2 linked regions of the Saccharomyces cerevisiae S288C genome follow. The gene in region 1 interacts genetically with each later gene. Each region holds a gene or a part of one and is shown on either strand. Other genes may lie near its edges.

Evidence for each region. A genetic interaction does not mean that the proteins touch.
Region 2: mutations in YCT1 (region 1) and YGR237C together harm fitness less than expected from each alone (positive genetic interaction), as found in Saccharomyces cerevisiae (one large-scale study listed by BioGRID).

Annotation. Positions count from the first base shown.
Region 1 is NC_001144.5:27,850-32,962, forward strand, and holds YCT1 (Yct1p), read left to right. Parts: upstream 1-2,259; coding exon 2,260-3,855; downstream 3,856-5,113. Other genes in the region: YLL056C (uncharacterized protein), read right to left, coding at 1-456; YLL054C (uncharacterized protein), read right to left, coding at 4,824-5,113. UniProt on the Saccharomyces cerevisiae protein: High affinity cysteine-specific transporter. Major contributor to cysteine transport when cysteine, at low concentrations, is provided as the sole sulfur source.
Region 2 is NC_001139.9:962,250-967,171, forward strand, and holds YGR237C (uncharacterized protein), read right to left. Parts: upstream 3,407-4,922; coding exon 1,049-3,406; downstream 1-1,048. Other genes in the region: SPG1 (Spg1p), read right to left, coding at 281-568; KEL2 (Kel2p), read right to left, coding at 3,790-4,922.

The sequences.
Region 1 (5,113 bases):
TGAAACACCTTTGTCTTTGTAACTCAAGGCAACCTGTTCAGTGACAGCACGCAAAATTTTGGAATCTTCATCAATACCATCCTGTTCGTTAGCAACTTTGTTTGGTCGCAAAGAAAGTGTACCATTCGTATATAAGAAAGGCTTGTTAGAACCTTTAAGTGACTCTAGCATAGCTACAGTGGCCTGACGGTCAATTTCGCAGCACTGTTCAAAATTTTTAAAATCATGCACAAATCCTAAATGAATAACGCCATCAGATTCAGTGGCACCTTTTTTCAAAATTTCCAGATCCTTGAGATCACCGCGAAGGATTTTTGCAGCAGGATCAATCGACTTAATCTTTGCAGCAGCCTCGTCTGACCTTGCCAAGCCAACAACTTCATGACCCGAGGATATTAGTTCAGATAATACGGCAGAACCAATGAAGCCAGAAGCACCAGTTATAAATACTTTCATTTTTTGATCTCTTTTTTATTTTCTTTTGTAAAAGTTGAGTTATCACGCCTTAGCGCTTATGAATACAAGAGTGATTGTAAGCATAGTTGATAGAAGCGGGAGCCGTTATTTATACGTTAGTTGAGTACTTGAGGGTCTTCATCGCCTACTTTTTTTCCTTAATATCCTTGTGTTAGTAATCATATCTTCAGGAAAGCCAAGAACTAATGGCAAATTAAATCCGCGGCTTTCCCTTTAAACTTTTTCCAGCACAATCTATTATGTTGAGAAGTTCCGCTAATTTCCGCATTGGAAAAAGAATCTCATCTGCAAAAACGATGGTTTCTTTCTTCCACGGAAGACTTATGTCCGTCCTCTCTATTTTCATATTGTTCTTTCTCTCTCTTTTTGCATAACGTCACAATACCCTAGTGCTACCGTCATTGGCGCAGCATAAGAGTATTGCATTTCATGTCTTCAGATTTTGCCTCGCGAAAGAGAAAACACTAAGAGGTGAAAAACAATAAAATTATGTTCCAGTGTGTCATACGTGAGGTTTTATCACGGGGCCACCGTTCTCATTGGTTACTTGGTTGTAAATGCTTTGCGTTGTGATAAATATATGGCATGAAAAATCATATGACTTCAAAAATGAACAGATTCCAGATGCCAAGCCCGCTTTCCTTCGGCTAACTAGATGCGCGCTCGCCCTTGAAATCCTTAATCAGCACAACTCAATTGTATGGACGTGAGCTCTGACTTTTGCTTCCGACAATTAGGCCTTTCATATCTGTCCTTCTGAGATGTTATGTATCATGCATTTTGTATACACTATGCAACACCCTTCGCAATGGCGAAAGCGGAAAGTCATGGCACCATCAATCGTGCTCTGACCAGTATGTAAAAAATTTCTTAAGCCTCACCATGTTACAGATTGGCCAGAGCATCTGGATATTCACCACACCTGATTGGGAAGACTCATAGTTTTATGAAAGATTTCTTCAGAAAAAATGACATGCTGATTTTGTCTACTTGCGTGTGCTTTCAGTTCTTTACCAGTACGATTTGGTCACGTGACACGCGATCAACTACATTCAATCCATCTGCCCCTTGCTGGTTCCGAGTATCAATTCTAAATTGTGGCTACCACTATAGCAATAGTACGCCAAGCTCGGATGCAAATCACGGATATCTTCTTAGCATCCGAGTTCAACATCCGAGTTCAGCATCCGAGCTTTGCGGCGAAAACTTAACAAGATAACGGATAATCAAAGTTCTCTGTGATGTTACGGAGTCTTTGGTCTGCGCTGCTGACTAAAATAGTGTGACACAACGTACATAGCGCCACCCATATTGGCCGATAAGGACCAGACTTGTGGCGATGACTGTTAACTCTCCGCGAATCTTTTTCGAAGTCGCAGGTGGCATTGCAGAAACAAAAATGTGTGGCTTCTGAAAAAAAAAATAGGCACCCCATTTGATGTAAGACATCTGGCTACCCCTTGTACATTTCAGTCACTGAGCATCGAAGGCACGTCTTTGCAGCATGCAATAGTGTTCGAAGTTCTTCCATTTACGGTGGCTCCCCTCACTGGAACGGTGATGTAATATGTAGATAGCTAAAACATTTCGCAGGTCCCTAGGAACTGGACGTCAAGATGAATAGGTATTGTTAAAAATGCGTACCTGTTGAATTGAAGAGGTCGGAAAAATCAAAGTACTTAAACAGACGATTGATTCGACATTTAGCTATTCAGGTTGCACTTCTTGAAGGTTGAACAAAACATCAAGAGAAAATAAAAAAGAAAATATAACAAAAAAGAAATGTCAAAAGTTGACGTAAAAATTGGAGCAGACTCGATCTCCTCTTCTGATGAAATCCTAGTTCCTTCGAGACTCGCTGATGTTACGCTAGCATTCATGGAGGAGAATGACGCAGCAGTTCCAGAAATCACGCCTGAACAAGAAAAAAAATTAAAGAGAAAGCTTTTTCTCACAATATTCACCTTTGTCTCTGCCATTAACCTTTTACTTTACATGGACAAAGCCACTTTATCCTATGATTCGATTCTAGGCTTCTTTGAAGATACAGGTCTTACCCAAAATACTTACAATACTGTAAATACGCTGTTTTACGTTGGTTTTGCAATCGGCCAATTTCCTGGACAATACTTGGCTCAAAAGTTACCACTTGGGAAATTCTTGGGTGGGTTGTTGGCCACATGGACTATACTTATTTTCCTAAGTTGTACCGCATACAACTTTTCCGGTGTCGTTGCGTTGAGATTTTTCTTGGGGCTAACAGAGAGTGTTGTTATCCCGATATTAATTACCACTATGGGTATGTTCTTCGATGCTTCAGAAAGAGCTGCTGCTCAGCCATTTTTCTTTGCAGCATGTATGGGGTCTCCAATTCCAACTGGGTTTATTGCTTATGGTGTTCTTCATATAACAAATCCCAGCATTTCGTTATGGAAAATATTCACTATCATCATTGGTGGTTTGACTTTTATCATGACGGTTGTTGTAATTCTGTGGTTTCCTAATAATCCTGCTGATGTGAAATTCTTTTCAATACAAGAAAGGGTATGGATTATCAGGAGAGTTCAGGCATCCACAGGCTCTTCCATTGAACAAAAAGTCTTCAAAAAGAGTCAATTCAGAGAGGCAATGAAAGATTATATAACCTGGTTATTTGGATTGTTTTTTCTTCTTCAACAGTTAGCCAACAATCTGCCCTATCAACAGAACCTGCTATTTGAAGGAATGGGTGGAGTTGATGCTCTAGGTTCGACATTGGTATCAGTTGCCGGTGCTGGTTTCGCCGTCGTTTGTGCCTTCATCGCTACGTTGATGTTAGCAAAATGGAAAAATATTTCAGCTTTAACAGCCATCTTTTGGACTTTACCAGCATTGGTGGGATCCATCGCTGCAGCTGCTTTACCATGGGACAATAAGATTGGTATCTTAGCAAATATCTGTATGGCAGGACAAATATTTGGTATTCCTTTTATTATAGCTCTTAGCTGGGCAAGTTCAAGTGCATCTGGGTACACCAAAAAACTCACAAGAAGTTCGGTGTCCTTATTTGCGATGGGAATTGCTAATATCATATCACCACAAATATGGAGAGAGAAGGACTCTCCTCGCTTTTTACCTGCCTGGATTGTTCAAATCGTTTTATCATTCTCTCTTGCACCAGCCATTTTGTTACTGATCCATTTCATACTAAAAAGAAGGAATAATCAAAGACTAAAAAATTATGACGAAAATTTACAAAATTATTTGGACAGAATTCAACTCATTGAAAGCGAAAATCCTTCTTCCATTGAAGAAGGGAAAGTGGTAACCCACGAGAACAATTTGGCAGTCTTTGATTTGACTGATTTAGAAAACGAAACTTTTATATATCCTTTGTAAATATTGATGTTTTGTTGTGTAAATGTTCTATCTGACACTTAATAATTAGAAAATTAATTTTTTAAACTTTCCGGCTGCAAGAAAGAGGAACTGTGTCTCTTTGAAAGGCACAATTTCCCAAAGAATCATTTACAATGGTAAATAGCTTACTGCTTAGAAAATAATAGATAATTGAATAAATTTATAGAGGAATTTCTTGACAATTTCTTCAAAACAGCCGGTAAAAGTCCATTAAAGATTAGTTTTTCTTAAATAAATCACCTAAACTTTCAAATTTAGCATAAAAAACATGTAGATATTTGTTCTCTGTACTTTATAATCTAACATTTTATAAGACAGAGACTAGTAACCCCTCTAGCCTGTGGTTAAAATACGCAAAACCTTTGAACCCTCAATATTTTTGCCATAATAATGACAACTATATTGTACCCATTTGTTCTTGAGTTGTCCGTATGGATGGAAAGCAGCACTCGAGTTTGCTGAAATTACATACCTCGGTATGCAATATGCCCAGAAAATTTGTAAATGATAATTTACATAACAATTCAAAACATATTGATGTTTTTCGTGGGTAACCATAGTTCTTGGAATGTCAACTGAGGGTATTTGCACTTCAAAAAAAAAAATTTATTAAATGAGACTATATACAGTGAGCACAACCTGTCTAATACAACGGCAAAAATTATATACATTGGTAGATTTTCAAAATTGAACTCTTTGTGCTAAAGAATTGTCACAACAGTTTAAAAAATAGTTTGAATTCTTCAAATTGACCCCATATTAATAAGACCTGATGCGATTCCGGTCTCACCCAGATTAGAGAGGGAATTTAATTTTCTTAGGACCGTAGCTACCAAAAATCTTTGTGTGGTATTGATTATATGATCGTGCTTGCGAAAAAAATAGAAGACTAAAAGTAGCATTAGTTTACTAACTTTCTCCTCGTATCTTTCAAATTTGTATTCCCCTCAAAAGTTACTCAGGTTAGGGAAAATTCCAAGTAGCTTATCAAGATCAATTGCCATTAGTTGATTCAAGGCTTCATTGTCATAATTCATGAGGTCAATTTCACTCTGTAAAGATTCGTCAACATCTTCAGTGAAGTTTCTGGAAAATTCTTGTGCGGAAATGAGTTTTTCTAATTCTTCCAAAATCTCCAAATCAAGACTTCCCAAGAATTGTGGATTGTTTAATTTTGATGTGAACGAAAAGGACTTATCCCTTCCCATACCCCATTTTAAACCGACAATCCTATGGA
Region 2 (4,922 bases), on another chromosome or scaffold:
TTTGCAATGAATCCCCTCATCAATCATTTATGCTAGTTGAATATTTACTAACAGTAACAATAATAGCAGTGCATTAGAGGCTTTATTGCGTCATAAAATAAATATCAGTTCAATTAATGTATAAAAGAAAATGCTTATATATGTATTGATTAATAACCTTCTCAATGATGGGAGGGGCCTTATGTAAAATCACAATCCCCTTCCCCGTTTGTCGTACTATGATTAAATGCGAAAACAAAATGCAAAGAACATAAATGCAGGGAACCAAGTACAAATTCCCTTACATGATTGAAGAGAACATCAAATACGTTACTTCATCATCATCCATCATCTCTTGTAAACTCTTACCCTTCGTCATAGCTGCTCTCTGTTCTGTACCCATAACAGACGCCTTAGTTGTGTCTACGCCGTTGATGTTGTCTAAGCTATGTGCAGGAACCGTATAGCCTCTCCTCATGTATGCGGTCGGTACCACAGCAGCGCCCACCAGCCCTAACATAATATATCTAAACTTTGGAGTTCTCACAACTCTTTGTGCCTCTGAGTATATTCCTGAATCTAACTTCATTTCAGTAAACTTTGTTTGAATTTTATGCGCTAAATATTTGTATTGATTGTATTTATTGATTCTGATCCTTCAGTAACACACATTCCAAACTATCCTGGATAATGTGAAAGAGATTTGGCAGTTCAATTTATATGAAGAAGACCCTCACGTCGCGAAGCATTTTTAACAGTGTTATCCCAGTATCCCGTAATTCTTCTCTTCATCCAATGCTGGCCATTACTCCATTTATTGGGGTGATGTAGGCTTCTTATCCCTTTTAAAGGGTACCTTATTGATCTCCCTTTTCGGTGCGGCTGATGAAATCTATAGAGCAAACCGAAGTAAAACAAAATTACGAAAAGAAATATAACATTATATCTTTATCAAAATGTATGTATGGAGGAGTAACAGCTGAAAACCCCCGTTGTGAGTGGTTTATGATTGTTTTCACGCTTATTTTGTCTTCTATATCTTTGCTGATTTTACTTGTATTAATCCGGTTCATCCGAAAACTTTTTTGAAGATCGAGCCAAATTTACTTTTTTTCTTCTTTTCAGACCTTTTAAATTGATGGTCGTTTGTTGAGGATGAGGAACTGTCCTTTTTGCTGTTGCCTGATTTGGTGCTTTCGGTAGTTTTCGTCCTTGAAACGTGGTTGTGGTGATGGTGGTGGTGATGCGCTTTTCTCTGTCCTGAAGAAGATGAAGTGGAGGATGTTCTGGGTGATAGCCCTGCGGATTTTGTTTTTCTCATTGGATGTGAAGTGAACTTCATTTTCGGATCCTCATTGTCCCATTTTAGTGCTGTCTTGATATGAGGCGTAGAGGCAGTTTCGTGGTTGTAAATGTCATCAACCATGGACTTTACTTTATAAATGCCGTTATTGTTGAATTGTATTCTTGAACTCCGCTTTGAGCTGCGCCTCGAATTTCTCGATTCTATAGGAGTTAGCTTTCGGCCAGAACTGTCGTACTTCATAAGAGTGTTATCATCCAATAGTACTTGTCTCGACGGTTTTGGTCTAACATATCCCATCTTATCGAAGAATTCCATTTCTTCCTTTTTTTCAGGTGAGATTGGGAAGTACTCATTTACAGAGGTTACTGACTCATCACTATCGCTTTCTTCATCATCCGAATCAACCACTTTATGTTTTGTGAAAGGGTTTTCCAAAGTTCTCCTGATTAATGCACTTAGCCATTGCAATCGTTCCTTTTTTCTCACTTCCGTTTTCAAATCATCGCTGTTGTCCTGTTCATCTTTATCCACTCTAGGTTTTATTAAAAGCTCAGGCTTGATGAATTCGAATGGGACAACAAATGCTGGCATTGCAAAGTGTTTCATTAAAAAAAATGGTAGTTTCACTTTTCCATTTCTAAACTTGATTTGAATGTTGGCACTAACGGTGCTGATTACTTGCAAACTTGGCCTATACAGAGAGGTCGCAGATATTATGGCTGATCTTGTTGAATTTTCTTTTACCATCTCAATACTAATCCTAACTATTTTAGTTGCCAATCTTCTCGCGTAGTAATTTAAAATATCGCTACAAGTTTGCTTAGCCTCATTATGAATAGCTTCTATTCTTATTCCCGTTGATAAAGGACTAGAGAGATCCGGGCCTATAAGGCTATGTGACGCGGTAGTCATGCTTTCACTAGTATTGCTAGTCATCCTTTCTAAGCGGTGCCTTCTTTTCTCCTTATATGCTAGAGTATCAATCTTTGCTTCAAACTCAGGAATTGTAGTAATTATGACTAAATGATCACCATTTCTTGTCAAATTTTCAACATACCAGTCCACAGATGACCAAGTATATCTCCTACCTGATATATAACACGAAACAACTCTTAAATCTACATCGTCATCTTTGTCTTTGCAATTGAGCTTTTCTTTTGTATTGGAAATATAATTTTCATAGTCTGGATGATCAATTGTCATTGAAATTGCATTGTGAACAATTGTAGGCCTTGATGGATAAATTGCTGCTAAAGGGTCCGTCACGTTGCTTGAATCCGTTTTTGACTCTGTTGTGTTCAAATAGACTGGAACTTGCTCACCAAAATCAAATTGATCTATTTTAGTCTTGTTCGATCTTCCTTTACTTATATAAAATTCCTCTAATTTGGCTAATTCTTCGTCTGTCATCCCGGCAAACGACTTGGACCTTTTCTTTGAGCTCTCCATATTTTCGCTTTCGGATAAATCTACCATTGACTTGGTCTCAATTCTATCTTCAACTTCATTAAGATTGGCAAATGCAGCTTGCGTATAGCCTTTCCTTGATCCAGAATTTTTTTGAGTGTTTCTTTCGGTCATTTTGGTCATTTTTCTTTCCAGCTCAAAATCCAAATCACCAATATCAATATCATCAATAGGGCCCTGTTCATCAGCAGCTTTTCGAGATTTTTTTAGCACGGATACTTTTGGAGGGGGAGGCAACCTCACTGAAGTCCTTCTTCTTGACCTGAACATTGGAGACTCACTTCTACTTCTTTCAACGCTGGGCGATCTCAAATAGCTTTTGGAGGGATCATGTGCTGCAGGAGAAAATACCTGAGTATAGAAGTGAGGAACTCCAGATGTTGTAGACGTTGGAGTTCCTAGTTGTAGTGGCGAAGAAGCTTCTTCGTCTTCGGGTGAGTCCAAGCTTTCGTCAGTGGCAAGGTCATTAGAGCCATGGCTACCGGTCAAAGTATTTTTGTAAACAGGATTAAATTGTGGAGGTATATGTAAAAAATGATTATTCAAGCCAACATGGTGACTGTCATTTTTAATAATGGTAGCTTGGTCATCAATTAAGGAAGGTGCCAGATCATCAAACGAGATATGCTTAGTAAATGTCTTTGCAGATGACATCTTCTATTATTTTTATTAGATATTAGCAGTTTGCCAGGGATTACAGCTTCTCCCTTATGTACAGTGCGACAATATTCTTTTTTTCAATGTGTCTTTTTATTCATTCTTCTGAACAGTTTCGCTTCGTTAAGGGTCCTTCTGGCTTTCTAGAGGCATGCTCACCTAAAATCCCCCTAGAAAAGCGGGCTCTTTACCCGGCGAATAATAATAACCGCGGCTACTAATTTTGCACCATTGAATATTAACCTCAAAAGGCTTAGTTGGCAATTATATTCTCCTTCTATTAATACTTAATGTTTACAATGTCCTTATAGGTGTTTAAATATATTTTTATATACTTTGTACATATTGACTTCCCAGTGCGTAACAACGTCTTCCAATGACTATTTTTTTTGTTCGAGAGTATATAGTTTTTTTTTTAAAGCTAGCAGTTCGTCCTTGAGGGAATCTCTATTTTCTTTCGACATATACAGTTCCGCTTTCAGATTGTTGATTTTCATTCTGTGGAACGCATCAAAATTTCCATGAGTGATGGCGCCACGCTGTTCCTGCTTGTCATCCTGTTCAGCTTGTTCAGTTTTAATTCTATCAATCTCCTTCTGTAAATCGTCGTTGTTTTTACGATATTTTTCGAGCTCGGATTGTGATAGGTGAATAGCCTTCTTTGTTAGGTCCATAGACTTCGAGCTTCCATCAGAGAGTTTTCTTAGCGCATCCAACTTGTTGTTATTGTCGAGTAAATTAGCCCGCAAAGAATCTCTTTCATCATTAAGCTTCTGAGTTTCAAGGTGCAATTTCTCTTTAGCACGCACGGTTTCGTGCATTTCATTTATTACTTTTTCTATTTTGTTCAGCGAATCTTTCTCATATATTTGATTATCTTTCTCACTTGAAGGTGGCCGTGCACTGGTAGGATAGCTTTTTAATAATTTACCCAGATAGCAGGACGATTCGTTCAAATAGGTATGAAGTTCGGGGGTTATTTTTTGCATATTATTTACAAGTATTTCGTTCTGGCGCTTCAAAACATCACATTTATTCTCAAGATCGATGATATCCCTTTTAATAGTGACATGTTCGGAGCATGTTTTAAGTCCATTATTTTGAATCGTAATTTGGTCACAGAGTTTACTTGCCTGAGATAATTTGACCATCAATAAATTTTTTAAATCATTAATTCTAGATTCTAAAAAGGTTTTCTGAATTTCTAGATTTTTAAGCCGTGCTGTTTGAAAATTTGAATCTTTTGAAGCTTCTTTTATTACCATGAGTCTCTGGACTTCCTTTTCTAATTGTGAAATATGTCTAGCAGTTTCAAGTTCCTTTTGTTGAGCTTCGAGACGTAATGTTTGTAGGTTCAGGTTTAAATCATCAAAAAGATTTTTGGGAATTCCTTTTTGACATGATGTGTCCTTATATGAAGAAGAGCCATACTCTTCTGAATCCACTGTTAGTCCTCGTAGAACAGGGAAATTTTTTTTAGATACTTTGATACCAGTTCCCGGACTTTCCTTAT